Arabidopsis thaliana: one gene and its partners. The protein of the gene in region 2 interacts with the protein of the main gene of each other region in a pairwise test. Each region holds a gene or a part of one and is shown on either strand. Other genes may lie near its edges.

The links.
Region 1: the proteins of AT4G04480 (region 2) and ADS1 interact in a protein complementation assay, tested with the Arabidopsis thaliana proteins (one large-scale study listed by BioGRID).
Region 3: the proteins of AT4G04480 (region 2) and AT1G77350 interact in a protein complementation assay, tested with the Arabidopsis thaliana proteins (one large-scale study listed by BioGRID).
Region 4: the proteins of AT4G04480 (region 2) and ARL interact in a protein complementation assay, tested with the Arabidopsis thaliana proteins (one large-scale study listed by BioGRID).

What each region holds. Positions count from the first base shown.
Region 1 is NC_003075.7:14,364,924-14,373,297, forward strand, and holds ADS1 (MATE efflux family protein), read left to right. Parts: upstream 1-3,953; 5' UTR 3,954-4,224; coding exon 4,225-5,823; 3' UTR 5,824-6,272; downstream 6,273-8,374.
Region 2 is NC_003075.7:2,225,396-2,232,932, reverse strand, and holds AT4G04480 (F-box protein with a domain protein), read right to left. Parts: upstream 3,285-7,537; coding exon 2,088-3,284; 3' UTR 2,082-2,087; downstream 1-2,081. Other genes in the region: CRK36 (cysteine-rich RLK (RECEPTOR-like protein kinase) 36), read left to right, coding at 1-101, 175-313, 656-976; PMP22 (Peroxisomal membrane 22 kDa (Mpv17/PMP22) family protein), read left to right, coding at 3,707-3,784, 4,009-4,107, 4,209-4,310, 4,394-4,469, 4,557-4,627, 4,726-4,811, 4,910-4,970; AT4G04460 (Saposin-like aspartyl protease family protein), read right to left, coding at 5,187-5,271, 5,358-5,446, 5,536-5,655, 5,735-5,882, 5,951-6,015, 6,094-6,207, 6,293-6,357, 6,443-6,651 and 4 more.
Region 3 is NC_003070.9:29,066,620-29,074,331, forward strand, and holds AT1G77350 (keratinocyte-associated-like protein), read left to right. Parts: upstream 1-3,605; 5' UTR 3,606-3,744; intron 3,745-3,862; 5' UTR 3,863-3,877; coding exon 3,878-4,036; intron 4,037-4,204; coding exon 4,205-4,256; intron 4,257-4,650; coding exon 4,651-4,717; intron 4,718-4,835; coding exon 4,836-4,926; 3' UTR 4,927-5,280; downstream 5,281-7,712. Other genes in the region: AT1G77340 (Pentatricopeptide repeat (PPR) superfamily protein), read right to left, coding at 2,001-3,209; APPR6 (Tetratricopeptide repeat (TPR)-like superfamily protein), read right to left, coding at 5,364-6,917; AT1G77370 (Glutaredoxin family protein), read left to right, coding at 7,297-7,460, 7,623-7,712.
Region 4 is NC_003071.7:18,232,963-18,240,592, forward strand, and holds ARL (ARGOS-like protein), read left to right. Parts: upstream 1-3,826; 5' UTR 3,827-4,374; intron 4,375-4,472; 5' UTR 4,473-4,763; coding exon 4,764-5,171; 3' UTR 5,172-5,211; downstream 5,212-7,630. Other genes in the region: AT2G44090 (Ankyrin repeat family protein), read right to left, coding at 5,720-6,532, 6,603-7,035, 7,364-7,630. UniProt on the Arabidopsis thaliana protein: Promotes cell expansion-dependent organ growth, probably via a brassinosteroids signaling pathway. Acts downstream of BRI1.

The DNA of each region.
Region 1 (8,374 bases), about 12 Mb from region 2:
TTTATGTGTTAACTAATGTGTTTCGATATTTATTACTAATAGTCTCTTTTAAAATCATCAATAAGTCACTTAGCCTAAAAGTTGAAAACAATGAATAAAACTTCTATTGACATAACTATTTTAGTTGCGTCTGCTTATATGTATATATCGACAAGAAGTATATAGGACCTCAATCCATATACTCTTTTGATTCTCTAGTAGGCGAATAGCGGTTAATACATTCCTATGTAAATCATATTTCTTTAATGGAGACTCGAACTTATGAATATTCAACATTCCACAAAGAAATTTGTGCTAACCAAGCGAGCTAACAGTGTTGGTATAGTCATAGATATATATATATATATATATATAATTCTTTTTAGCAAAACATTTTCTTTGTTTGGGATAAAAGGAAAATAATTTTCTAAAATTTATTTATTTATTTATGATTACACCATCACCCATAGCTCGCTCATATGTTCGAGTCGCAATTCGTAAAAAAAATTGTTTATACATAGATATATGGACTTTTGGTCTATAGAAAAAACAAACCAGCAAAAGAAAACAAATTTTTTATTAACATATATATAAAGTAGAAAATAATAAGATCTAAACGACAAATCAAAATGAAAATAAAAAATAAACAGTAGACGGAAATCCGAAAACACTGCTGTTGAAGATATGAATGTTTGATTTATGAGAAGTCGGTCCATAGATTTAAGCACAATAGTCTAAGAAGCCAGCCAGTCTTATCTCATGACACATATAAAAGAAATTATGGATATACAAATCATTTGGAAAGAAAAATCTAGACAAATTTTGAAAGGATAAATGTAAAAGAAAATTGCATGAGAGAGAGGGCACATGTCTCCTTTTAGCCTTCTGTTCTTGGGAGGGAAGCCAAAATAGTTTCACTTCTGTATTTTCTCAGCCACTGCTCTTATTTGGGACCTGTCTTCAAAGAAGTAAATCATAAATAGATCTATATTTTGTGTCAATTTCTGTATTTCATTCTCATTTAATTTATTTTTGTATATATTATATATTGTGTTTTTTAAAGAAGAAAAATAATAGATTTTAGATTCCAGCTGTGAATTTAACCCTTTCTCGATCGAAAGTCTATTTTGGCGTTTGTTCCGTGACCATCCTCTCGCTACGTCACCGTTTTCATATCCATGCAAAATATTTTGAAGATAATATTTCTCTATCCCCCCACTTTTCATTGATTATCTACCCTTTATATATACACATTTCTATGTTTTTTGGATCGAAACAATTTTATTTTAAATGAATAAAGTATAAATGAATATCCAGTTAAATCATCGGGTCCATTCCACGGACAAAAAATTGTATTATTACTTTCACATCATACCCGATTAAAACAAGTTTCTATCAATTTTTAGAATTTTGCTTATTATTATTGGTGTTGCTGTTGTTATTGTTGCAGTTGCTGCTGCTGCGATATTAATTGATATTGATTATTGTCTGCATCATAATGATTATGAAAAATGGGGAAACAATATACACAACCAGTTGTACTATGTCACACTTTCAACATTAATTCTTGATCAAGAAATTGGTGGAATGTTATCTTCTTTCATATAAATAAATTGTCCCCTACCAAAAAGTATATACGATAATGCATGGCCAATAATGATGCATTACGTATAGGCCCCTCGTTGAAAGTTACCAAACTTCTCATTCAAAATATTTTATATTTGTTGAGATTTTTCTTAAATATATGTGTTTTAGTCGGATGTAATCCTAGATTTTATAGCCGTTTTGGTACTATTGCATTGTCAAGTTTAACTGCTGCGTGATCGTACCTTTTCGAAACCACACCAATACACTATATATTTCTAATTCTATCAATGTGATTACTAATTATATGGTTTAATTATAATACAAGTGACATATTATCTTTAAAACGATTTGTATTTAATGTAAAATTAATTTATCTTAAACGCACAACATTTATTAGAGGGAAAACTATATGTGAAGATATATGAATTATTTTCGAAATGATTATTGGAACGTTTCAAAATGAAAGAATGGAGAATATTTTAAAAATCAGAGGCTTAGTAGGGCGAGGCCCCCTCTATGCCGTGAACGCTCACAGGAGCCTTACTTATTTTATCTCTTTGTTTCAAATCTTATCGACGGAAAATTTCTATAACCCATTTAACAAAAAAAAAAAAAATTATAACCCACAAATGATTGTATAAATAGTTTACAAAACGATAGGTATATATGTAGATATATATAGTACTGTCTATGCTTATATACTTTTACAACCCGGTTTAATATTTATATAATTACCATTTATCTCTTCATAAATTATCATATTAATTTATGTAATAGCAACCCCCAACTGTATTTATAAAAAAAAATAACATTATGCAATCGTCAACATTACTACAAATCTATATATTATTTATAATTAATTCATCTATAAGAAACTTGCTATATGTTTTCATTTAATATTGGTTGGAAGGTTATTTAGTCAAAGAAAAGCCATTAATAGCTGGAGATTTAAACTCCATTGTGAATTACAAACATTTCTTAATATGCAAACCATTACGAAGATGTATCCGGGACTTAAGTTGCTGTTTAAGTCTAATTTGTTCACCGGATGGAGACAAAACATGAAATAACGGCTAAATTAATTGTAAACCATAGTTTTCAAGCTTTGATTAAAGAGTCAAGCGAAACATTAATTTTAGTGTTGGGTCTTTAATTATAAATCACCGATTTGCATTCAAGTTTTGATAAGATATCTAGTTCGACTCTTCGTTCGGTTTTGGTTTAGTAAGTAAACAATGGTAGCGACGCTAAGCATGGTTTGATTCATAACTTCATGTGGTAGGTTATGGCCTTGGACTTTACTTTGGTCGAAAAAATATATCATTTTAATATTTTCGCAAAATAATAATATATGTTTGATTTATTCTAAAATTCAATATAATTTACCAAATACTATATTTAACTATATAACTATTTCAAAAATAGTGTATTTAACAGAGATAAAATTCTATTTGTATAAGAAATTCAGCACAAAATAGTTTAAAACAAAAAGAATTTTACAAGGACATTTTCGTGAATTTTAAACAAACACATTAAAAATAAGAAGAAGACAAATTAAAAAGAAATTCAAAGTTAAGTAAATGCAAACACATTTTTTGTGCCAAATGGTCGTTTAAAAAGGATTCGAGAGTTCACGTGCAATGAACTTGTACTATATATGCTAATCAAAATCTACTTACTTTAAATTATTTAGACGTTACATTGAACTGTCTTTAGATAAAAGATGTACTGTAATATTGGCCTTGTCTATCTTAATTCATAATTTTATTTTAGTATACCTAGATTATTTTTGCTTATCCTTTACTGATTTTACAAAGTATTCAAGACCATAAACACTAGTATAGTAGTATTGAACTAAACTTAACTAGCTTGGATTTGACCAAGATCTATGCAATATATTAAGAACTTGTTATACATATATGTGGGTTAATAAGCCATATATACCTACACTCACAAATCTTGAATATAGATTGTGATACAACAGCAATATTAGTACAAACCATTGGATGCTCTACAATGTTTTGTCTAATTGACCAAAAATAAAATTTAACCTCATATCTTTCAACCACTTTTTTCATAAGATTAAAAAGTTTTGTCATATATTCTTAATTTTTTTCCCTTGACCTAGCTAGTAGGTTTTCTAAAATTTCGGATTTGATACGTATATTCTTATAGTTTGCTAATACGTATCGGATACAGCATCTTTGTGTATGGTCCACCAGTAAATTACATTTGGGTAAGTATTTGATTTTAGTTGATTTTTTTCCAACTTATGTCACAAATCATTCATGTATCAAAAAAGTTGATACATTGTCAATTTACTATTAATGTATTTATCCATATAAAGTGACTTCTAAAAGTATTTTAAATATACAAAAAAAAAGTAGCTTAGATTCTTTTTCATGAAAAAATTTCGAAAAATTAAAAATGAAGAAAAAAAAAATCCTGCCAACTCCTTTATTAAGATGGTAAGAGAGAGCTCTGAGAAGAGAGAAGCAGCACCAAAAAAAATTCATATCTCTCTTTCCTTTCAATTTTCTCAGTTGTTAAAACCTCTCATACTCATTAGAGAGCTCTTCACGAGAGAACTCTTTCTCTTTCCCATTAAAGATCAAATCTTTCTTCTTCTTCATCAACACCATCATCATCATCACCGTCATGTGTAACCCATCAACAACAACAACAACCACCGGTTCAGAGAACCAAGAATCTCGAACCGGACTCTTCCTCGATCTCTTCTCGATCAATAGCTTTGAACCCACAAAGAGAAATCTCCGGCATTGTGAGAACAGAGGATCTCCTCTTATGGCAGAAGCTGTAACAGAGGCGAAATCTCTCTTCACGTTAGCTTTTCCGATCGCCGTGACGGCTCTTGTCCTCTACCTACGCTCAGCCGTATCAATGTTTTTCTTGGGTCAACTTGGTGACCTCGAATTAGCCGCCGGTTCACTCGCCATTGCCTTTGCTAACATAACCGGTTACTCTGTTTTATCCGGTTTAGCTCTTGGTATGGAACCACTCTGTTCTCAAGCCTTCGGTGCTCACCGCTTCAAACTCCTTTCCCTAACCCTCCATCGAACCGTGGTTTTTCTCTTGGTTTGTTGCGTACCGATCTCGGTTCTCTGGTTTAACGTCGGCAAAATATCGGTTTACCTTCACCAAGACCCCGACATCGCGAAATTAGCTCAGACATATCTCATCTTCTCCCTACCTGATCTTCTCACCAACACTCTTCTTCATCCAATCAGAATCTACCTTCGTGCTCAAGGCATCATTCACCCCGTAACCCTAGCTTCTCTCTCCGGCGCTGTTTTTCACCTCCCGGCTAATCTTTTCTTAGTCTCTTACCTCCGTCTTGGTTTAACCGGCGTAGCAGTCGCTTCCTCCATCACAAACATCTTCGTCGTTGCTTTCCTCGTTTGCTACGTCTGGGCGAGTGGTCTTCACGCGCCTACATGGACTGACCCGACCCGTGATTGTTTCCGCGGGTGGGCTCCGTTGCTGCGTCTCGCGGGACCAAGCTGTGTCTCCGTGTGTTTGGAATGGTGGTGGTACGAGATCATGATCGTTTTGTGTGGTTTGCTCGTGAATCCAAGATCGACGGTGGCTGCTATGGGCGTTTTGATCCAGACGACGTCGTTTCTTTATGTTTTCCCGTCTTCTCTTAGCTTTGCTGTCTCAACTAGAGTCGGAAACGAACTTGGAGCCAACCGTCCCAAGACAGCAAAGCTAACGGCTACGGTGGCTATCGTTTTCGCGGCGGTTACAGGGATTATAGCGGCGGCGTTTGCTTACTCAGTCAGAAACGCTTGGGGAAGGATTTTCACCGGAGACAAAGAGATACTCCAGCTAACAGCGGCGGCGTTACCGATATTAGGTCTATGCGAGATCGGAAACTGTCCTCAGACGGTGGGATGCGGCGTCGTGAGAGGAACAGCACGACCGTCAACGGCGGCGAACGTGAACCTTGGAGCGTTTTATCTGGTGGGCATGCCGGTGGCAGTGGGTCTCGGGTTTTGGGCCGGAATTGGGTTTAATGGGCTTTGGGTAGGACTACTTGCGGCGCAGATTAGCTGCGCAGGTCTTATGATGTACGTGGTGGGGACCACAGATTGGGAATCGGAGGCTAAGAAGGCGCAGACGCTAACGTGCGCTGAGACTGTAGAGAATGATATTATTAAGGCGGTGGTGGCGAGTACTATAGACGGTGAGTGCGATGAGGCTGAGCCGTTGATTCGCATCACGGTGCTTTATTAATATTAATTAAGACAAAACAAAACAAAATTATAATCATCATAATTATTCCCATCTCTTTTCCATAGAAGGAGAAAGTTTTGCCTTTCTTTGAGAAATTTAACATTTTCTTCTTTTTTTGTACTTAAAAATTTCTTTTTTTTTATCTCCTTATTTTTTCCGATGCCCTTATGATTGGCCGTTTATATGGAGTATCTATGAGTTTTTTTTTTATAAACTACTACATATGCTAAATACTTGAATAAACTCACATGAATGCAAAAAAATAATCACATGATTTTTTTTTTGCTCACAACTAAACATTTAATTACACCCAATCTGAGACAAAAGATGTTGGGACCATATAGCTGGAGCGACAGAGAATTAATTCAAAATAATTTTTGAAATGTTTTTGTAAGTTAATAAGATAATATGGAGAGAAGAATTCACTGTTGAATTGTAGAGACTTATTATTATTTGAAGGAAAAAATCTTACTAATAAATAGAAAAAAATGGGTGATAAAAAAAGGAAAGAGAGTAATATGGTAATTTGGAAAAAAGTGGCAACCCTGTGGGAAACAAAAACTTGTGTCTCAAAGATTCAGACAGGTCTGAATGAATGTTTTGGATTCCCTATAGACTATAGAGTGCTGTTTTGTTCAGAGATGAGAGAGAGAGTGAGTGAGAGATATCAAGTCCCAAGGACCATTGTATTGCATCATCTCATAAATTATTCCTACATTTTATTTTTATTCTCATCATAAATTATTTTATCCATATAATTCTGCATTTCGATGGGTATGGTTTCTAGTTTATTATTCTTATTATATAAAAAATAAAGTTTTAAAGTTGACGATAAAATATGTTATGTAAACTTCACTATAGATATTTTTTTTCCATTTCATTCTATCATAGTGAAATTTGAGAATGTACATTGTATAAGATCATACACTTTTTTTTTTGTCGACAAAAATCATACACTGAAAAACAATGAAAGTTGTTACAAATATAAACAAACAATAAATCAAATATAACACTTTCTCCTGTTGTTTAGAACCTTTTCATATGCATATCAGCATATGCATTAACAAATTATTGTGATGTATTATGATTTCATACTGAAAATTAACGAATTCGTTGTAAAATAAAATAAAAATTAATTCATTGTAAAATAAAATAAAAATTAATCAAGAGATACCTTATGAATTTGATGTGTTGTTAATTTCCAATTATTAAATATAATATATTCCCCTTCTTTTTCTTTAGATATCTTTATTAGTGGTGCCAGGAGAGATTTAATACAATGATTTAATGCTATAGTTCATAAATTTTGTCAGTGCAATAATTAATTTATTAGTACCACATCCTCATTTTTTGGGCATAATTTGGCACCACATTTATAAGTTAGATAAAAATAGAATGCCCAGCTGCGATCCATAATACCCACTGTACATCATAATGTTTATATATGTTTCTGAATACCATAGTTTACATTGGTAATGCACAAAGGGATTTATATTATTACATTGAGTTATAAATATTATTTGATATTCACTAATATTCAATAAAAATGGTGGTACTGCCTCCTCTCAGAATAACTTCGTACTACTAAAATCTTATATGACAAATTGGGTACCAATTATTGAAGTACTGAACTTATCCTCTGAAGCATAATTACAAAAAAAAAATGAGGAAATGAGGACAAATTTTGAAAACAGTGGAAGAATCTTTTTAATTTTTCATTCAATTTCAACAAAGTGCAAACAAATTTTTCAGGAACTATTTAATATTTTCGTACCAACCAACTGAGAATCAATCTTTAATTCCATACCAAGAACATACACAAAATTATTGTAGTATTAAAAGATCACAGTTTGCAAAGTGAAACGTTGATTTTTTTTTTTTTTAAAACCTACAAATTTTACTATCAATCCGATAGGATAAAAAAAAAAAAAATTCCACTGTGGTCTTTATTTGGCCACATCTCCATATACAGATTTGTGACAGAAGCATCTCCGAAATTTTCATGAACCATCATTATTTCGGGTGATATATAGTACTATAACATTAATAAGCCTTCAATTCTTATTCAAACCTTAATATAGCTAGCTAGGTGTTATATATAGAAACTATAGACCTATTTCTCAGGTTTTCTCATTCTATGAATCACCTAGAATGAAAAAGATTCCGTTTTGATGAAAAAAGAATCTAAGATGTGAAAAAGTGTAATAAATGGTGAAAAATATATAGATCAAGAAAGAAGAAAAGGGTTGGAGCCAAAAGAAAGAAGAAGTTAATTTCACTGCCCCCAAAATAGATAACATATGTGTGGGGGAGAGAGGAAGAGAGAGAGAAGACAAAAGTAGTTGAGAGAGAGAGAGAGAGAGAAAGTGAAGAAGAAGCAGAACAGTGGCAGATGTCCCACAAATTAAGACAGAGCACAAGTTATATAATTGGAGTGGACTGCTCACATTCCACACGAGGGGGCCTCCCTTTATTTAGTTACCCTTCTCTTCTTCTTACTCACTATTTATTAAATTGACCTCTAAATTTTATGTAACTGAGAAGCAAGGAT
Region 2 (7,537 bases):
TTAGACGCGGAGATGAACCCTAAAGTTGCAGACTTTGGGATGGCGAGGTTGTTTAACATGGATGAGACTCGAGGAGAGACAAGCAGAGTAGTTGGAACCTAGTAAGTCTGCTCTATTTCACACATAAATGCTCTGCTTTAGACATGGATACTAATGTGATTTTTGTTCATGCAGCGGATATATGGCTCCGGAGTACGTGAGACATGGACAATTCTCAGCTAAATCTGATGTTTATAGCTTCGGTGTTATGCTTTTGGAGATGATAAGTGGTGAAAAAAATAAGAACTTTGAAACAGAAGGACTTCCTGCTTTTGTAAGCTTCTTGAATCTTGATCACATTTTATTTATCTTCTCACTTTTAGGCTTTGATTGGTAACACGCATAATGGCATAATGACGTTTTCTAATGCGGTTAAGCAGGAAATTTGTCAATCAAGAAAATTTGCATAATTGTATTAGAAAACGCAAAAACCCAAGATTTGCATTTTTGCATAAAATTACAAGTAAATAATTCATAATGCAAAAAAGTGGGTATATATTTACTTATTTTGCACAATAATTTGTTATTATTTTAAACATACTAAAGAAAAAAATATAATTGTTTACACGAAATTTATATCACTTGACTTATAAAGAATGTTTTCTTTTGATATAAGGCATGGAAGAGATGGATAGAAGGAGAGCTTGAGAGTATAATCGATCCTTACTTAAACGAGAATCCAAGAAACGAGATCATAAAGTTGATTCAGATTGGTTTGTTGTGTGTTCAAGAGAATGCAGCAAAGAGACCAACCATGAACTCTGTAATAACTTGGCTTGCAAGAGACGGTACTTTTACAATACCTAAACCTACAGAAGCTGCTTTCGTCACTCTGCCTCTCTCGGTGAAACCTGAAAATAGGTCCATGAGTGAGCGTAAAGACAAAGATCCGTTTTCAGTGGATGAGGTCTCGATTACAGTCTTGTATCCTCGGTGAATATTCCATTATTTTCTGACCTCATCTGCATTGGTGCTAGAGAAACTAGAGTACGATACAAGAAACATGTAACTTGGGGTGGGTATTCGGATAATTCGGTTTATTTTGGTTACTTTATGGACACATTGTCACCGAATTATACCCGAATTTAGTTGAGTAAATAATTATTTTAAATTCTTTAAATTTCATCTTTAGTATAAATTCTTTTTGAGAATACATATTAAAAGGAAAAGCCTAAAAACCGCGGTTTATTTTTTATTTGGCCGTTTAATACCTGTAATTTTAAAATTGGAATAAAAATAGCTAAATTATTTTTTGTTGTCTTTTAAATCCATGGTCTTTTAAATTTTGGTAATTTCGAATTTGCGACTTAACATCTGTTATTGGGCGTTACGGAAATCGTTAACGGCGTTAACAAAATTAAGTGAAATTAGAAAAGCAAAAAAAAGTGGTCTAAAAAACCACGATTTATATTTTACCGTTAACCGGTAACGACTTCCGTAGAACCCAATAACAGATGTTAAGTCGCAGGTTCGAAATTACCAAAATTTAAAAGATTATGGATAGAGTAAGATACAAAAAATATGTAATTTGGGGTGGATATTCGGATAATTAGGTTTATTTTGGTTACTTTGGTATGGAAACATTGTCACCGAATTATACCCGAATTTAGTTGAGTAAATAATTATTTTAAATTCTTTAATTTCATCTTTAGTAAACTTTCTTTAGTGAAATATAAACTCTTTTTGAGGATATGTTATATTAAAAAATATTTGGTTTAATAAATTAAATTAAAAATTCGATTGAGTCCGTTTTTTTAGTGAACTTTCTTTACCCTAATCGGTTTAATTTTAGATTGGGTCAAATTCGTTGAATAATTTCATTTCTGTTTTGAATCGGTCGTATCATTTCGGTTCATTAAAATGCTCAAGATCAGGACAAAGATTCATGTTTCATTCAAACTCTAGTTTAAAATTTCGATCAAAAGACAAATTTCTTTGTAAAAGTAAATCAAATTTGCTAATATAATATGTCGGTAACAAAGAATGAATGAACAAATTCATCTATACAAAAAAAAGAAAAGAATGAAGAATGTTCTCTCTAAGAAAAACTAGAAAAGCTTGCTAGCGAATTCTTTGGCCTTAACCTGAGAGAGATTCGATCTTTTCGCGAGATCTCTCAGTTCTGATAAGCTTCTCCCTAGCTTCACCGCAACTCTTGTCTCAAACACTTGTCCGTTCTCTCTCTTCTCCGTCGATTTCATAGTTTCTTCTAATAGAGAGAAGAATCCAGCTGAGTTTCTATACATCTCAAACACCATTCCCACTTGACCACCATGCTCTAAAGTGTTGACAACCGCAGCCAAAGAAGCACAAGTCATCGCCACGATTCCAGCTAAACCGGAATCTTGACCGATAAAGACAGAGCTTACAGCAGAAACTCCGGTTAAAACTGGTCCAGAGATAGCCAAGAACCGGTTTAGCTTCAACGCCACGTGACCTAATTTCTCATACTCTTCTGCGTCTCTGCTCTTCACCACATGAGCAACTTCTCTCATCTCCGCCTCAAGCTCTTGACTCCATCCATTCGCAAGACTAGTTTTAGGGTTTTTCTCCTTGTTTTCAGGCCACCAAGTCGCCGGTTTAAACTCTTCCGGAAACTTCTCGAGCATTGTTCCGATCAGAGGAAGAGGATAAGCTTTATCTAGAGACAACACTCTCTTTATCACTTCCTTAACATCTTCTTCTTCGATCTCCTCGTTTTCTCTCAGAAACATTTCGATTTCGACTCTCAGCTTCTTGAACAGCCTCGTCGCGTTCCTCTGTTCTTCAGCTAGCTGCGAAGGTTGAATCTTGCTCATCAAGGCAGCAAAACCCGTCGCAGATGTTAACAACACCGTTGAAGCTATCTTCACAGCGGTTACAGAATCTACACCGTGACCGTTAACCGAGGCTATTCCGGCCATCAAAGCGGCAGTGAGAGTAATCATGTTGACAGAATTGAGCAGTAAAGAGTTCCAATTGTTACGTTGATCTCCGATGTTCTTGTGCATCTCAATCCTATCCATAACTTCTTCAAGAACCGCATTGAGACGAGTTCTTTGGATAGAATCAGAACCTCTCTTTTGTTTCAACGAAAGAGGAAGACTTTCTACAAACTCAAAGCTCGGTTCTTTAACCGATAAAGTCGGTATTTTCGGAACCGAGACGTGAAATTTCGGTAGCTTCGGGATTGAAACTGCTGCTTTAGGTCTTGTACTAGAAGAAGATGACGAAAGAACTAATCTTGATACCTGCAATGAAGCCATTATTGATAGGTTTTTTGGTTATGTTGGTTTCTTAATATCTCTCAGGAGATTTGTGATTGTGTTTGATGAATGAAGAGAGAAATGTTATGTGTGGTGTTATATATAGGTTTAAGATGATAGGCATAAAACAAAACAAGAAAATTTAAGGAATTGAATTGACCAAAGAGAGAATTATTGACCAAAGACCAATTAGGCTTTGATAGATTCTCCTGTGACGGTTTTTGGTCTAACCGTAAAGCTAGCCTCCCAATTTTACCCGCCATCCTCGTAGAACGAGTCTTAATTACATCTAAACCGGCTCGGTTTATATTGGTTTGATTAAACCGGTTCGGTTTTGTTTTGTAGGTAGGAATTTGGTCAAATTGCTTAAGACACAAATGACAAAACACTAGAGAGAGTATCGAAGAGAAGAATCCAAAAAAATGGGATCTTCACCACCGAAGAAGACGACTCTGCAACGGTACTTGTCACAGCTTCAACAACATCCTTTAAGAACAAAGGTTGAAACTTTTCTTCTCCTATTGTTGATTTGAAGCGATTGATGTAGTTTTCTGGGGTGGTTTCGTTTTCTTGAGATTAGGTTTAGTTTCATTGATTGAGAGACGATGACGTTGTTTTTCGATTGAAAGTTTTGTTTTTTAACCTAACCCAATTTCATAATCTGATTATCTGAGAGTATCGTTGACTCTGTTTTACAAGTAGTTGGAATTCATGTGATTTGTAGGCAATAACTGCTGGAGTTTTGTCTGGTGTTAGCGATGTTGTATCACAGAAGCTCTCTGGCATACAGAAGATTCAGCTGAGAAGGGTTCTTCTCAAAGTGGTAAAGCTTGAATCTTTCTCTTGTAGAGTCCTAAGTTCAAGCCAGTCCTAGCTTCTTTGATATGTTTTACCATTTGAGTTCTGTGTTGATTTCTCCAACAGATATTTGCTGGTGGGTTTCTTGGACCAGCAGGGCATTTCTTTCATACATATTTAGATAAGTTTTTTAAAGGGAAGAAGGATACACAGACTGTTGCAAAGAAGGTAACAATGTTCGATACCTTTCGATGATTTGTATGTTCGAGATTGATCCGGGGGTTTTCTTAAACAGTGTGTTTGAGTGGTAGGTAATTCTGGAGCAATTGACATTGTCACCATTGAACCATTTGCTTTTCATGATCTATTATGGAGTAGTCATAGAAAGTAAGTTCCTCCCTTTTTCACACTCCATTTGTAAAACACGAACCGTCGTGGATGGTATTAAGAGTTCTGCAATGTTGAGTGAAACAGGAACTCCCTGGACCCTTGTTAGAGAAAGGATCAAGAAGACTTATCCAACGGTCCAGCTTACTGCATGGACGGTAAGTGATAGATATCATCAATATAGTTCATGCTCTTTTAAGAGAATTTGAATCATAACAAGAATTGCTGGATGATTGATTCTATATATCAATCACAGTTTTTCCCGGTGGTGGGATGGATTAACTACAAGTATGTGCCACTGCACTTCCGGGTCATCTTGCACAGCCTGGTCGCATTCTTTTGGTAAGACAATGAATCATTTGCTGCAGCTAGTTCTTGTTGTTGTTACTCAACTGAAACTTGTTTGTAATCTCCACATTCTTCTTCTTTTGTTTTTTCAGGGGAATTTTCCTAACCCTGCGAGCGAGGTCAATGACACTAGCTTTGGCAAAGGCTAAGTGATTAGGAAACACATGGATCGTGACAGAGAACTCAAGCCTTGGGACTCATTATGATCACTTAGTACTCTGTAAGTTAAAGCAAATCAAACAGCTCTGAAACCAAATAAAAATCTGTATTAAGATGATACCATTCTAGGATAGCAATATGTTTTAAGTTATTACAAACACATTCACAAACATCATATAAAAAACGAGGGTATTAAAGAAGAGATATTGTTTAAGCAGCTTTGGCGAATCCAACTCTTCCTTTCCCATAATCGAACACTGTGTGGTATGGTCCCATGAAGATATCACCCAAGATCCTGCATTTTCACACGATGTACAAAATTTTGAGCAAAACCCATTTGAGTTTGTTGGTTAGTAGATTGTATTTGTAGATGATAGTTACCAGAGAGGTCCACGAGGCGGAGCAATATCCATTGCCGTGAAACCGCTGGTGCACTGAGACTCAACTCCTTCCCCGATCTTGAATATATACTGATCGACCAAAAGAAGAAGAAGGAAAAGGTTTTAATTACTCTCCTTGTAAGCTGAAAACTTAAGGAAAAGCTGATGAGAGTAGTTACGTCTTGAGGAGTTAGATCAAAGCTTCTGCCACCAATTGAGAATGTGACTATAGGCATCGACGAAACCCTCCCACAGTCCACTGCTGATTGTTGGTTTTGGGTTGGTATATGGTCACATAGCTATACATGTTTTACAGAGATTAGAGTCTTAACATGCTTATGTCCAAAATAAGGCTTTCAAGACACTCTCGAAACTCACCTCAGCAGCATAAGCGAGTATGCGTTCTTGTGTTTGATTCTGAGTCAATTCGCTCTCCATCCACACGGCTGCCATTTCGCAAGCACTGCACATCGCTTGGTTTAAAAGACCCGATGTTCCATCGTCTACAACTGACTGGATCCCCATACTGCAGACAGACATGAATCAGTTTTATGTTTGACATATTTGTTTTGACTGGATAGTGTCAGTACTGACCTCACACTCTGTGTACCATCATAAGCGCAGACTCCAATTTGTGAGCATACTTTCTTCGGATCCTCCTGCAAGTCAAGTGATGTAAAATTCAAGATTGTATTGCTTATAAAAATGTGAATGGTGTCATGACCAGTGATTTAAACCTGAGCTAGAAGAGAATTCAACATGGTTTTTCCGTATTGATCCACCACGGCCTTGCATTCACGGCTTACAATTCCTTGTGCTCCTATCGCGTGATTGATCATCGTGATGACAGTCTAAACAAGCAAATATAAATATTCAGCATGTTTCAGGTGCTAAGTAGTGTACAATCTACAAAAGTTTCAGTGAAATGATTCTCACCGATGGACCGGTGAGCAGAGAAGTTCCGGAATCAGCAATAGCAGAACAACCTTTAGCACAATATCCTGAATAACATAGAAGTCAGATGTCATATCATAGGTAAAAGGACTCATTTATGTTGAAACTGAAACATCTCAAAAGCTTACTTACCGGTTGGTTTGCCAGCAATTTGGAGATCACCCATGTCAAACTGCCAGTAACCTTTATGTGTCACAGGAACAAAAGTATGCTCTCCTTTGAAGTGCTTCGGGTCGACTCCACCGAAAACAATCTCACCGCCTTCTGGATCTTTCGGGTTACGGTTAAGCCAGAACGAAAAAATCGGTTCCTTAACTAAACCTTTTTCTACCATGTTATACCTACACACATCATATAAATTTCATCATTCAGAATTGCAACAACAATTCTTTCATCAGATTATAGATCAAAAACGTTTTCATACCAAACCGGAGTTGAGTTTCCTACAGAAATCTCTTTGAAACCCAAACCGAGGATACCATCAAACTTTGCTAGCAAGAATGTTATACCAGGCTCACTAGTAGCCTCTATGAATTCCTGTGGTGATATATAGATGTAGCAGTTAGATATTAACTCACATGAATATTCTGAAATATGTAAGCGGATGAATCGTTTTACCTGCTCTTTCACAACAATATCACCAACTTTAACATCATCATTGCTAAAGTAACCAGAAATAGCACCCGTCCCATAGCGGATAGACGCGGGTTTTCCTATAATGACAATGAGTTTTATCGTCAAAACCTATCAGCAAACATATCAAAAGACCGGCGCTAAATGTATCCCTTTCTTGAATAGTTATCAAGAAACATCAAAGTACCGAAGCTCGAGTATCAAATAACAAGATGAACAGAGAGAACGAACCGTTCTTTCTATATGACGATGACTGGCTAGCCTTGTACTTGGAGTGGAAATAACAAGCAACCTGAAAAAACATTAAACATAGATATTTTGTTTTGTTCTTTTGGGAGTAAGAATACAATAGGATTTTCAGAATTATTATGCATTAAGAACAAACTAACGCGTACCGATAGGTAACATTTAGTAGATGGTATCCAGAGATTGGAGCTACCAGTATCAAAGATCACAGTGAACTTCTGAGGAGGAGTACCAATGGTAATGTCACCATAGTATTGAGCATCCAAATAGTTTTTCAGCGGAACCATATCCGCATTTTCATCGTTCAGGCGAAAATAGTGTTTGGGAGACCAATGAGACCCTCGGTTT
Region 3 (7,712 bases), on a different chromosome or scaffold from region 2:
TACAAACAAACTGATATATAAATGAAAAAAGTTAAGAAAAGAGATAGATATATGTTGGATTAATTAGTCTTGAAGGACAATTGAGTGTGAATCACATGGTGCTTAGTGATCTTTGTCTCTTTTATGTTACAGCAATCGAATCTATGGACTAAAAGCTTACCTTAATTATAAGGTTAATGAAGTAGTGGCCTCATATTGTTTGCGCACCAAAAACAAATTTCTATCAATCAGTCAATCGAAATGTGTTTTAAATATGTTGAAAAAATATAGTAAATTACATACCGAAAATACGATAAGAATTGTTCATTTGTTTTTTCTTGGGTTGAAATTATAAAGTTTCAAATTTGTGAAAAAAAAACAGAACCCCATAAGGAAATGATCACTTTTAAGTTTTTATTTATTAACATTCATAGCAAAAAAAATTAAAAAATGATCACTTTTAATAATCAGCGTAAATACCAACTAGTCAAGTTCAATGTATGAACATTTTCCTCTATATTATATGAGCTTGATTTGGTGAAAAGAAAAATAAAATACTAATTAAAGCTTGTAAGAACTAATGTCGACAGTGCTATAAATCCTCAAATCTAGTGGACTACTACTTATATAAAGTTTGAATACTAATAACTAAAAAAACATTATCTTCTTGGTTTGCTTATTGACTCTGTGTTATATTAATTCATACTAATATATTTCATCATTTAATTTGTATATTTACTTCGTGAGAAAATGAGAACACATTCGCTAAGTGTGCTTACTCCGCAAAGTAAATAGTGAGACGTGGTCGGTTTCGTTTCCATAAATTTTGGACCAACTAATTTGACCTTATTAAACTTATTATTACGTCTCTAATCTTTCTCTTATCTCTTTAACCGTTACCGACATTTTTTGGGGATCTTCGTTCTTCATTTCCCGACTTCAATTATACAATTATTTCTTATGATTTTTACTCTCTTTTGCACAAAAACACACAAAATATAATATTCTTTCATGGAAGGAAAAACTTTAACATAAAAAAACTTTTGAATACCCATTGGCTATGTTACTAATACACATTCCGAGATTAATTTTAGTCCAAATGCAATTAGTTCTGCTAGTTTGAAAAGTGACTATTTTTGACTCGAACAATATGAGATACATTTCTAACATCTAGTATATGATGGTTTAAATAAAATAAAATAGTCTACATATCGAAACGTATGATGTATGCAATTTGATGGGCACAGAATCAATGTACATAGAACCACATTACACGTCATGGTCTACGATTCTTGGCTTTCCATCGACGCGTAGGAGCCAACTTCAAATGCAATTTATTGCAAACTAATTAACTGTATTATCAAAAGTCAAAACTCTCTTTTTAATCATTTCTTTCGCCCATCTTCACGTTTCCACAACTTCAAATTACAATTATATAATTGGTCACTTACTTTTTGATTTTATAAAACCAGATAAAGAAAGTAGAAACTTCAATTACATTTGTCTATGGTTTCATTTTGGCACTAGGACATACAAAATTATATCTTTGTAACAAAAAAAAAAAATACATAGGACATAACATCAAATACCAAATTTAGAATGTATAACCAATCAGAGTGACTAAAGTGGTTGGTAAAATGTAATCAATCTTTCCCTTGAAGACCTTTACTAAGCATCGATCGTGTATGAGAGCTAAATTTGCAGCCACTTTTTTCCATTACTTGGAACAACTCACAAAACCCCTCTACAAAGCCCTGTTTAAGCACACCATCAATGAGGATTTTCCAAGCGATTTCATCATCGCAATATCCACATCGAAGCAGTTTTTCGAAAACCGAGTTGACTCTCTCTTTTTCTCCTTCTTCACACAGCTTGCAAATCAACATTTTGCAAAACTCTAGTTGTGGTGAATGACCATTACATATCATATCTTCCACAACTTTTGCAGCTTCCTCATACTTTTGCAGCTTGTAGTAACATCTAAGAAGACCATTACAAATCTTCTCACTTAACGATATTCCTCATACTGTACGCTGGTTTGGAACCAATCCACTTTCTTCCATCAAACTAAGCAATCTATATGCACTATCTAAATTACCAGAGCTACACTGTCCAGCGATCAATGTATTATAAGTTATCAAGTCTGGAACCAAATTCTGCTCTAGCATCTTACTAAGCAGTCCCATTGCTTTGTGCACATTCTTCTTACAAAAACCTTTGATCAATGCATTGTATGTAATAACATTTGGCATCAACCCATTCTCCAACATATGTTCTAGCAATCCACTTGCTTCATCAAGTGTATCTCCACTACAAAAACTCTGAATAAGCACAGTATACATACAATCATCAGGCTTAATGCCACTCTCTGACATCTGCTTAAACAAATTCATAGCTTCTGACTTCTGTCCTGATCCACACAAAGCATCTATAAGCACTGTGTATGTTCGAACATTAGGACAACAATTGTCATCTTTCATTTTCACCAATAAGCTCAAAGCTTCATCGATCTTCTTTGCTTCAAATAGACCATATATAAGCTGAGTGTAAGAAACCTCATTTCTATGGCAACCGTTCTGAGTCATCTCCTTAAAAACCTTAAAAGCCGCATCGACTTCTTTTCTTCGACAATGTCCGGTAATAAAAGAAGTATATGTGAAATAATCAGGATCACATCCAGCTTGAATAAGCCAAGTCACATACTGCTTTGCTTCTACTACATATCCAAGCTTACAATACCCATTAACCAATGTGTTAAACGTGTATATGTCTGGAGAAACCAAATCCTCCAACATTTCAGTATAAAGTCTCTTCATTTCTTCGACTAATCCAAATCTAGCTAATGAACTCAACAGATTATTGTAGCATTTAGGAGTAAGTTTATATTTAATCTCGAAGCTATCACCTTTACGCATTGTCCTACAGAAATCAACAACAAACAAAGCGTCTCGCACTGAATTGCAGCTCTTTATCATTAAGATCGTGATCTTAGGCACCTCATAAGGTATTTCCTGGCTGCAGAGAAGAGTAACCAAAGACGCGTATGAAGTAACGTTGTGCTTGAAGTTTGGTATCCGAGAGATCCAATCCGAGAAACTGAGAGCTGTCTGAGGATCAAGATTGAGTGAAAACAGAGAAGAGACATGAGAAGGTGTATAGAAGGGGTAAGAGATTTTAGAGATGGATTGTTCTGCCAATTTGGTTCGGAGACAATTGAGAGTAATCGGCATGGAAGATTAGAGGGGTTAGACTCTGCTGTTGAGATAGTACTTGTAACTTTGTAAGCAGAGATGCGGCGGTGGATAATGGCCTTCGACGGAGAAGGTAGCCGGAAGAAGTAGAAGGAGATTTGGAAGTAGTAATCTCATCGTCGGTTGATTCGACGGTAAGTTGTACTTCCAGTTCAAGCAACAGTAGGGTTTAGGGTTTATGAATCAGTGAATGCAAGCAAAACCTCAAACCCGGTACAATGCTACGTTTGGTATTCTGCATTGGTTTATTAATTAAACCCAAACTCAAGTGGCATGTACAATACTACGTCAGTTGTTTGTATAAAACGACAGCGTTTGAAACCGCGACTGGTCCGTCAGGGTATATATGTAATATATACGATAAACATGTATTTTATGGTCAATGCGAATTCCCAATTTTCCCATTTCTTAAAATCTCTTCTCGATCTCCTTTGTTTCCGATTTGCCGGTCTTCGAAGTGGAACTGTGGCAGTGACGAGCGTGAGGAGAAGATCTGATCTTTAGGGCTTTCAAGGTAACTCATCACATTCTTCTATCTGTTGATTTCTCGTTTTCCGACCAGTGGATCAATCGATCAGTTTTGTACGAATTCGTGTCTGATTATCTGTTACGGTCTTAATTTGATTGTTTAGTTTGGATTTAGAAGCATGGCAGGAGCTGTTGGAACATCAATGTTAGGGTCTCTTATTGTGTTTACAGTGATCCTCTCGCTTCAGGAAATTTACAGAGGAAAATTAGCTTCTTCAGAGCTGTTCACGATCCTTGGTGGATTCACAAGCTCTCTCCTCTTTTTGTTTTCTCTCACTGTAAGTTCCTTAGAATTCCTCAACTTGATCTCGTCTTCATGGAAATGCACTACCTTTACAACTCCAATGTTGATCTGTGTCGTTAAATTTGAGATCTTTTGTTTTCTTCTCGAATTCATCTACATTTGTTGTTGACAGTTTGGTTGATGCGGTTTCTTTTACTTTCAGTTCATTGGAAATTTTCAGGAATCTTCTGGCATCAAGAGTGGTTGGGGTGCAGGTATGTCCTTGCTTCTTCATGAAATCAAATTTGTTCATACGATCAAAACCATTGGGTGTCTACTCTACCCCATTTTGTCTTCCACTTCAGAAGTTTGAGGGCTTAAGAGTGGAATTTTTGAATCTTTGATGATGATGCTCTAAGTTTACTTTCTGATAACATATTACGAAAACTCTTACTTTTATGTGTTACAAATACTCTTTTAGTGAATCAGTTGTTGGAACCAAATTTTTTTCATTCTTATGTCTTTTTCTGTATCACCTATATAAGAATCACAGTGATAAATGGCTCGAATTTGTTTGCCCCCTCCTGCTTCTGCTGTGTGAAAGTGGGTATACTCATTACTCAACAAGGGTTTGCAATGTATTGAAGCCAATTTTTGTTTCCATGGCAGTCATTCTTGCAGAAATCATAGCTCTTATCGCTGCTGGCACGGTTCATCGGGTTTGTATCACAACCTGGTAAGTGGAAATTCACTAGTTCTACTTGGTATATCCATTTACCCTGTTTAATTACTTCATTCCTCTCTTGCTAAAAGCGGTGTGGTGATTGTGATGCTGTTTCTTGATCTGCCTGCAGTTTCCTGTTCTCTGCTGGGCTATTGTACGAGGTGAACAAGATCTCTGGATACATGCTATCCAAAACCGAGTCAAAGTCTAAGAGACACTGAACCTGATAATGGAATTGATACGGCTTATTATTCTGGACTTAGATTTGTTTGGCACTTGAAGATGCAAAAACACTTTCAACATCATGAATTGTGATACTTAGAAACCCTAAATTCAAAATCCACATCTTATGCTTGATGTGAGTATTAGGTCTGTTTCCTTTGCAGCTTATAATCATAGAGATAATCATTTTAGTTGTGTCTTATGTTCTTGGAGAAACTGAATTGTGTCTTTTGGCCTCGACATCGTATCATCCGCAACCAGACACATCAAATGGTTTGTATCATCTATATTTTAATATCTCATGTATCGAAACCGCAACAATTGCTGATTCCAATTTAAATTACAACTTTACCAAGGTAAATGGAGCCTGAGCCAAATGCTTAGGATCAGCTGTTGTTAGCGTACTAATCTGTGGTTCACAGGAAATCTAAGAAAGTCAATCACACAACGGCTCATTGACCAAAACGTTCATCTTCTCATTAAGGAACTTGAGCACATCTTCTCTCTCTTCTTTGATAAGCAGCTGTCTTAATCTACCAAACGTTACACCCGATGGTCGAATCCCCATCTCGATCATCTCCTCTAACAAAACACAAGCTTTCTGAGTGGTACGCTCCTCGCACAACCCATTAATAAGAACCGAGAATGTATGCATACTAGGGAACACCCCTTTCTTCCTCATGTATTTCCACACTTTATCCGCTGTCTCCATCTCTTTCTTTTCACAAAACATCTTGATCACCATCGTGTAAGTGTCTGCATCTGGTTCACACACTTTAATCATCTTCCTAAAGACATCAAAAGCTTCGTCTTTCTCCCCTCGTTCTATTAGATGGCGTAGAATGATGTTACATGACTTGGAGTTAGGCGTCACACCTTTACTCTTCATTTCTTTCAAAACCCTATACACATTCTTCATCCTATTTGCTTTGCAAAATGCACCGATCAATGAATTGAAAACTGCTACATCGGCTTTCATTCCACTTCTTTCCATCTCGAGGAAAGTATCAACCGCCTCTTCAAGCCGGTTCTCAGTTCCATAAGTATGTACAAGCACACTATAGATAAAAGTGGTCGGCTTGCAAATGCTTGGATCCATGCTCCTCACAATGCCAAGAGCTTCATCAACTCTTCCAGCTTTACAAAGTATGTCAACCATTATACTATACGTCACTATATCCGGATGACAACCCGCATCAATCATTTCCCGGAAGACCTCTCTTGCCTTGGGCAAGTTGGGTTCTTTCCCCCATCCCTCAAGCAATATGCTATACGTTTTGGAGTCAGGCGTAAAGCGATCCCTCATATTTTCGAAAACTTCCTGTGCTTTCCTCACATTCTTGGATTTACACAACGCACTCAACAACCCGTTGAACGCCACAAGATTCGGCGGCAAATCATACTTCTCCATCACATTAAACGCGTAAATCGCCTCATCCACTTTCTGCGCCCTCGCATACTTCCTCATCACGATACAAAAAGTCTCTACATTTAGCATCTTCTTCTTCCTCATTGCATTGATAAGATCCCACATGAGCTTGTACTGCCTTATCTTCGCCGTAGACTCAATCATCATGTGGTACGCACGAACACTATGCTCGTAATGCCGTTGCTTCTCAGACCATTGGAAGAACCTGTATGTCAACAAACCAGCATTCCTGAATCTATTTAAAACATCTTCTACAACTTCTTGTGAAACCCTTAACCCACTTTGATCTAAAGCCGAGTCAAGCACCAATTGCGGAGAAGACATCAATACTTTAGATATGTTCTTCGCCACATCCGCAACATCTCTCACTTGTTCGCTTGAACTATACAGCCTCGCAGACAGAAAACTCTTACAGCAGAATCTGGATTGACGATTGATAATTCTGATCGTCATGTTGAATCTAACCCAGACCGTAGCAGAAGAACTACATTCCCATCGCATAAAAGAAAAAAAATTAACCAGCTGACGAAAATCAACTGATCTAATCCTAAAACGCTTCATTGAGGCATTTCGTCAAACAGTTGATGAACATTATATTATTGTGCACATAAACAAATACACAAATCTACTTGATCAGAAAAGATTATGTATTTACCTGTATGAATCAAGTGGTGTCTGTTTTCAGGAACTGTGGTTTTTGTCACCGGAGAATAATCCACGCGGCGACGGCGTCGAATGACGAAGACTGAAGAGCGACTAGTATACGCCAACGTTTTGAAAGTGAGATAAATTTGCCACGTGTCATTTTTGTCAATGTCACGTGTTCTTTTACTAAGAGCCATAAATTGGAACCTAATTAATGGTCCAAATCCAACAATAAATCACCTAACCAAAAAAATAAAAGATTTTTACATTCGACGAGACCGTGATCGAAACGGCGATGGTTGACCAGAGTCCTCGCCGTGTTGTCGTGGCGGCGCTCCTATTGTTTGTGGTTCTGTGCGATCTTTCGAATTCTGCGGGAGCTGCGAATTCTGTGTCAGCTTTCGTTCAGAACGCCATCTTGTCCAACAAGATTGTCATCTTCTCCAAATCCTACTGCCCGTAATTAAATTTCACTCTTTCTCCTAATTTGAAATTTGCAATTTAGGCAACTTTCCAAGTTTTGGTTCATATCTAGCTTTCCTTATTCATTGGCACGATGGCGGAATTCGAAATTCCAAGACTTTGTGTTGAAAGTTGTGAATTTTGTTTTGGATGTGTTAGGTATTGTTTGCGGTCGAAACGTATATTCAGCCAACTTAAGGAAGAGCCATTTGTTGTGGAGCTTGATCAGAGAGGTATCACTTTCTTTCT
Region 4 (7,630 bases), on a different chromosome or scaffold from region 2:
TATATACATTTTATCTTTTTGATGAAACTTTGAATGCTGTAGGCTGTAGCAGAGAACAATATATTCTTCAGCAATATTAGTTTTAAGACGTTCACTGATAGATTAGAGTTAGAAATTAGTCGGTATTAAACCAAAAAAAAACACACACTAGTATAATACACTTGACCGCATAATTTTGCTTCCACTTGAAAAGTGAAGAAATCTATTTGACATCTTCCTTGGTCTAAACAAACAAGCAACTATTGAAAAAGTTCCTTATAGTGGTTTTTGAAAATTGAAAAAAAAAAACAAGAATGGTATTCTATAGGGAAATAGTGAAAGAAGCACATAGAATTGGAATTAAGATTGAGAATGAGATGTAACAAACAACAGAGCAGCCAGCCAGCCACCATCCTTGCAAACTTGGGTCCTACTCCTCCATATCAATTCCTCATTTCATCTTTATTCTTACTCTTCTCTTTAATCTTCTAATTAACAATTTTTGAACTTTTCATGTTTTGGTACATAACCAACGAAAAAAGAAACAAGTGACGTACAAAACACAAGAAGAAAATGAAATTATCTTAATTGATTCTGACCTAAAGAATTTAACATTTTCTCTTTCAAATCTTTTGTAGCAAGGGAGGTGAAACGAAAACGAATCATTAAGATACGTGCAATGAATCCAATAACCTCTATGACTAGCAGATGCATGAATTTTATTTTTGTGTTTCTGTTATGCATCTTTTTAGTTGCTTTTTAAGTCTGGTCATATCTTCGCTCAGACTTCACTGATGCAAAGCTGGATACAAAATCGACAAAAGTATATGTCCCCATATATTCCTATCTTTATACTGAAGAAAATATATACTTTAGCTTTATCTATCGCACTACTTTAGTCTTTAGAGTTGATTTATCAATTAGTTCCTAAATCAACTAATGCACATGATTTAATGTAATTAATTGTCTCTTAATTGTACGGATTAGGTGATGAAGATCCACCGTCCACCATGGCTGTAGTACCTAATTAATACCGTGTAAACTTTAAACCACGGGTATTACTTATGATTGTTATTAGAAAATAACATTAGCTTACCTCAAAAAAAATGAGGAATTTGTTTTTGATTTCTAGCAAAAAAAAAATGAAACCAAAAATGATTAGACGACTCTTTTGTTTGTAGACACAATAAATAATATAGAATTTTTGTAAGAAATTAATAGTTTAGAACAATATGCGTGTATTCAAAAAGAATATAATTAAGAATATTTGAAATGATTAAATACCAATATTATTATATTAGTTTATATTTTTAAATCAAATTACTCAATTACAAAAATAATACATTAGAAAATGATTAATTATATTTTTCTAAAGTGTTATAAAGACACCATTTCCTAACGGTATTGATTTTAGATAATAGAAAACAATAATTTGTGAGGAGAAAGTATTTAAAAGAAAACAGAAAAAGAAAATGTATAACGTAGAAGAAAGGTGGCTTTAGATTGGAGAGTTGTACGAGGAATATTAATAAGTCAAGTTGGTCGAGATATGCATTGAATCGATGGGAACGAGCCACGTGACAACGACATGTGCCGTTTCATCCACATTACATACCTTTTGAAATTATTGCTTATTTAATTCTTCTATCAACATTTTTTTTGCTTATACTTATTTTCTTCAATATATCTCATACCACTAACAATTAATAAAGGCTAATCTTAATAGAGAAATAGAATCATTCGTTTTAATAAACTCAAGTATATGTGATGAAACTGTGGGCATATCATATAAACTTGTTATTGAGCATAATAATTCATCTTATTATGTCCTACTATGCATTATGCAATGTATATAATATGAATTTTTTGTTGAATATTGTTGCAGGTCCACTATGTTCCACTAGACATGCAATCTAAGGGAGGGTTTGCGATGTTCAAGGCAATCATGCATGGGTTGCCATTTCTATATAGCTTTCCCTTTCTACAATTTTTTTCTTTCTAATTTTCTAAAAATTAAATATACACACACTATGGATGATGGATTAACCAATAGAATCCAAGGAATTACGAGTAAAAAAAACACCCTCCTATAGTTCACCTATATCTTATATCTTTCTTGGTTTTGGCTACGAATTGAAATCTTTTTCTGATTTGGATAAGAGATTGCGCTCTCTGTATACGTTCTTATATATATCACTATAATCAAATATGGGTTTTCTATAAATCTGTAAGGCATTATAAACATATGTATCAATATATTCTTAACTGACATTTAGATTGGTATAAGCAATGTTATTTACCTACATATTATCTATTTGTTTACATAGGAACTGGTGGCATCGATCCTAACCATAAGATCATGAATACAAAAAATCAAAGATATCGAATCAAGTACATATCCACAAGATAATTTGAATATCTTTTAAGATCGGGAAGATATCACTATGGTGTATATGCTATTTATATAACTGATCAGTTATATATAGTTGTTAAACTTTGTTCTAACAATTTAAAAGTCTGCATCATCTTTTTATTGACGTTAATTAAGTTTTGTTTTTGTTTAAAGCGGGAGGTGAAGTTTTGTTGTAATTATGTCTACTTGAGCCATTATAATTGTAGAATAGTAATGTCATTTCCATTGGGAGTTTAGCTAGTAGTTGACGAATAAAACCATTTCTCCTTTGTAAAAAAAAGTAGAAAAGACGTAATCAATAGATGTTATACATGCGATTCATTGAATTTGGATAAATAAGTATTTTGGATTGAAAAAAAAATAAAAAATGAGTAGTGGATTTTGGTAAGCTGTCAATTGGTTAATACCAGAACGGCTGAAACTAAACTGCTTGCGAAAATTATCATGTCCCTCTTAATTAAACACCCAACGAAAAGTACTTATGAATATATCCATTAGATATTTTAATTATTACATTTTTAGGCTGTTAAACAAATAAATTATATCGGTTTACCTGAAAGATAATGAATGAAAAAAAAAAAATCTTAATATATTATTTTATGTGTTTTTAAAAATAATAAGCTGTCTTGTATTTTTAACAAATAGCATTTTTAATATAGTACGATATTTAATACTATATCACTTTTTTGTTTAAATCATACTAAACAACACCTAGCCCTTTTTAAAATAAATAATAATAATAATAATAAGACCACTTATGTATCCTTTATGTATCATGTAAAATACAAAATTCCCTAATTATATAAATTTAAGTTGGCATTTCTTCTGACTATTAAAAGCATAAAACGAAAGAGAAATAAATATTGGACCAACTGTCCCACTAAAAACGATAATATGATATAGCCACCACATGAAATGCCGAGAGGAATAACAATATGGGTCATCATCGGTCGATAACACATAGACAACATTATTATTAGGTTGGAAAATTTAATTAATTCACACACATATACATATACATATTATACAGTTCTATGACAAAAAAAAAGTGATAAATGTTGAATATATTTGTCAAACTAATTTGGTAATTCACCGAATTCAATCTATTGATTATTGCTATCACTTCTCATATTCAATTTTTTGTGCGCGAGGAATTCGAATCTTTAATTAGTACGTTTCCCCGTCCATAGTTTCAATAGATTACAACTCTAAATGATTATATAAAACAAACAAAACATTATCATATAGAACAAAGATTATTTGTGATAACCTAAAATATTTATCTTATCTTTAATTATTTGTTTCTAGTATTATTAATGACTGATACTGCTTTATTTATTTCAACCAAACAACTTTGACTATAGTCTACAATAATACACGATCAACGTTATAAAAGTTTGGATTCGTTTTAATTAAAAACCACCATTGAATATTCCAAAAGAAACTGAAACCTCCATCTCAAACAGAGGCTTACCCCAAATAAATTCCATCCCACGTCATCATCAGAGAAAGTGTCTAGGGGAGAAGAACCACTGTGATTGTGGAAAGAGAGAGAGAAGTGTAAAGTAATCAAATAGAGAGATTTCAATTTTGTTCAGACCTTCCAGAATAAGCAGCAACTTGCCTCTCACACTTGTCACCCCCAAAAGAGAAAAAAAACATTAAAATTAAAATCTTATCATTTTAGAAAAATCTGTAAATTCAGTGAACCTTCCTCTGTTTCCTGTTTCTTCTCTGATTCCACAGTCTTAACCCCAAAAACATTATATTTATTTCTCTCATTATCTTTTACCATCTATTTTTATACCAATTCCTTTTATCAAAACCACTCCCACTTTATTTCTTCTTCTCTGGTTTTCTTACCAAAAGAAACTTTCTTCGTCTTCCTCTGTATTTAAGCTTTAACACCCTGTTTTTGGTTTCCAACGTTCAATCTTCATCTTCTTCTCGCTGAAGGTGTGTTTGGCTCTAACGGTTTAAAGGTACTTACTTTCGATTCTTTTGATTCATTCTCTGCTCATGTTTTTGATTGAATCACAACGATTTACTGATCAAAACTTGGACAAATTTTCTCTTGCAGCTTTCTTGAAACACCAATTGAATCTTTTCTCTCTACCGGCAAAAAAAAAAGATTAGTCCTTTTAGGTCTGGAAACGCCAAGATCACTCGTTCTAAACCTTAGATTTTGTCTGCATTTCGGGATAATCATTTCATCGTCAGGGTTCTTCAACCAAACTACATTTACAGAAGAAGAAGAAGAAGAAAAGTTCGTTACTTTTTATGCGTTTGGATAAACAAACTCAAGTTTCTTCTTCATACATCGATCTGATTTTCCAGATCAAACTTCGAAAAGAGAAAAAGCCTTCTTTAAATGATTCGTGAGTTCTCCAGTCTACAAAACGACATCATAAACATTCAAGAACATTATTCTCTCAACAACAACATGGACGTGAGAGGAGATCATAACCGGAAAAACACGAGTTTTCGTGGTTCAGCTCCAGCTCCGATTATGGGGAAGCAAGAATTGTTTCGGACATTGTCGTCGCAGAACAGTCCAAGGAGGCTAATATCAGCGAGTTACTTCAGTTTAGAATCAATGGTTGTGCTTGTTGGTCTCACAGCATCTCTCTTGATCTTACCGTTGATTCTTCCACCATTGCCTCCTCCTCCTTTTATGCTGCTTTTGATTCCTATTGGGATTATGGTTTTGCTTATGGTTCTTGCTTTCATGCCTTCTTCTAATTCCAAACATGTTTCTTCTTCTTCCACTTTTATGTAATAAACGTTTCTTTAATTGAAGAAAGAAATCCTTAAACAAAGGGAGGTTTTGTCTATTGTCATTACATAAGGTTTCAGGGTAAGAGATTAATATTTCATTTGTAAAACTTGTTTTCTTGATGCAGAATTATACAACTATTTATATAAATAAAGAATGATTAATAGTTTCATGATTTCATTTTTCTCATGGTCTGAAGCAAAACCAGGATGAGAGATTGGTACAAAATGTAAGAAATTGAAAGGCTTTCATTACAGGAGAGGAGACCAATAAGAGTCTGAGACAGAAGAAGTGAAATAATATGTAGATGAAATAATATAAAAGGCTTTGATTATCTCTCCCATGGTTTAGGATGCATAAAAGACAGATAGAGAGACTTTTGACAAAGACATTCTCATAGCAAGTTTGTACAAGTCTACAAGAACCCTTTTTCATCATCTCACAACCTGGATCAGAATCCATAACTATAGTGGAATGGTTGTTTTTCAGTTCTTATTTTATCAACTATTTAAAACGAGTTGTGTTAACTCAGATGCTGAATCCATTGTTGCTCAGTGTAAAGAAGCTTTGACCAAAAAAAGAGGAAGGTGATGCTCCAAGATGGTCATGAGCTGATGATGACCTTTCTTTACTTCTTCTGTGTCTACATCGAAGCCTTCAAGCTGTGTTGCAGCTTCCACGAGCTGTCCTCTTAGCTTTTGTGAGAGCAGCCGGCCACCCGCATCCACACACTCTCTGTACAGTGGCATGTAGGCGATTGCCACTCTCAATGGTGCTGGGAGATCCTTTAGACTTATTGCAGACTCTCCGAGTTTCAAAACTCTCATGAAATTCATGTAATTTTCCCGGCTTTCCTTCAATCCTTGGTTGAATGCAGCTTCTGACCACTGTTCTTGGAGAAACGATTTGAGGTCGGAAGGAACAGACTCGTCTTCTGACTTTGCAATGGTGTCTGCAACTGAATATGTGGCTGCTGGATCCCCGAGGAAATCTGATTTAAGGAGAAACTCTACTCCGTGGAGGGAACCACCACTTCTTTCACCGGCTGCTTTGAGGATTTCAATGCTGAGAGCAGTAAGGACGGGTCTTGGAACATGAGGAAGGAGATAAGCAGCAACCTCAACCTGGCTGCTTGAAGTGGCGGCTGTGAGAGCTAAGCATAGCTCCATTTCACGACAGCCTCGTTTCACAAACCATTGAACAACTTGCATGCAACCTCTCTCCGCTGCTCTCATCAAGGGACCCAAGAAAGCAATTGCATGACCTTCTTCTACAAGGCAATCCATCGTTTCGATTTTACTATAATGCGAGGCAAAACCAAGGGCTAAGTCAACATCCACGTCTAAGCTATTCCTTTGAGCAATCTGCACCAGGAAAAAGTTCAGTTAGATTGCACAAAGTAACTTGCAAGCAGTCATTAAGAATTAGATTTACCTGCAACAAGATGCGCACAAGTTCTGTGCTCCCAAAACGAGAAGCTTCAAGGAAGCACTGATTTACATTATCTGCGCCTCCTTCCACCAGCATACCGAGCAATCCATGTATGACAGTAGCTGAAATTCCAGAAGCCCAGCCAGGATTAAACGAGGTAGAGAACAGCGTAAGCGGGAAGCAAGCTGCATCAAAGGCTTCTGTGAAATCCTTTCCTGATAGATGGTTTCCTGCAAGATCTAAGAACATCTTGAAAGCAGAAAGCTGGAGTTGGATCTCAGCAGCTGAGTCTTGGTTAGCTTTATCTCTAGGGCCCTGGCATCGGGAGTGAAAACCTATACATTTGAGTGCCCATTCAGTAAACTTTTGAACTTTAGCACCAGCTTCTGCTTTGAGGACCTCATCACCGTTACACTCTTGGAGACGCTCGTGCAACCTGGAAACGCCGAGATGGGAAAAAATGGATTTATATAGAAAGGGTATCTCACCCTTCCCAGCTAACCAAAGATAAACCAGGAGGAATAAGAACATAAGAGATACTATAGATTTAACAAAAAGCGATTTCTAAGAAAAGTTAACAACACTAAAACACTTGCAGATGTAACCAACCAATGTAACATGTAAGACACAATGTAGTGATCATATAAAGCAAAAACAAGGTATCATAACAGAAACCAACTTCTCCAATAATCCAAAAGTGTTTTACCATAATTATACTGAGAAAAAGGGGAAACATCTTATAAGAGAAAGTATCAAATGTGTACCTTTGAGCCATAACAGTTACAGTATCAGCAAGACTCACAGTCCGGCTATGGCAAGATGAAACACAAGAAGCAAGAAAGGAAGTCCTAAGTGTAGCTCTAGTATAGTCCTGAGCACCATGACATATGATCTTAGCAATCAATTCAGTGATTCCCCGTAACTCATGCTCTGTGCTCAAGAACCAAATAGAATCTAAACTAATACACAACAGATCATTCAAAGTTTGTGGATCAGCCAGCTGAATAAATCTCTCTGAAAGTTGCCAATCC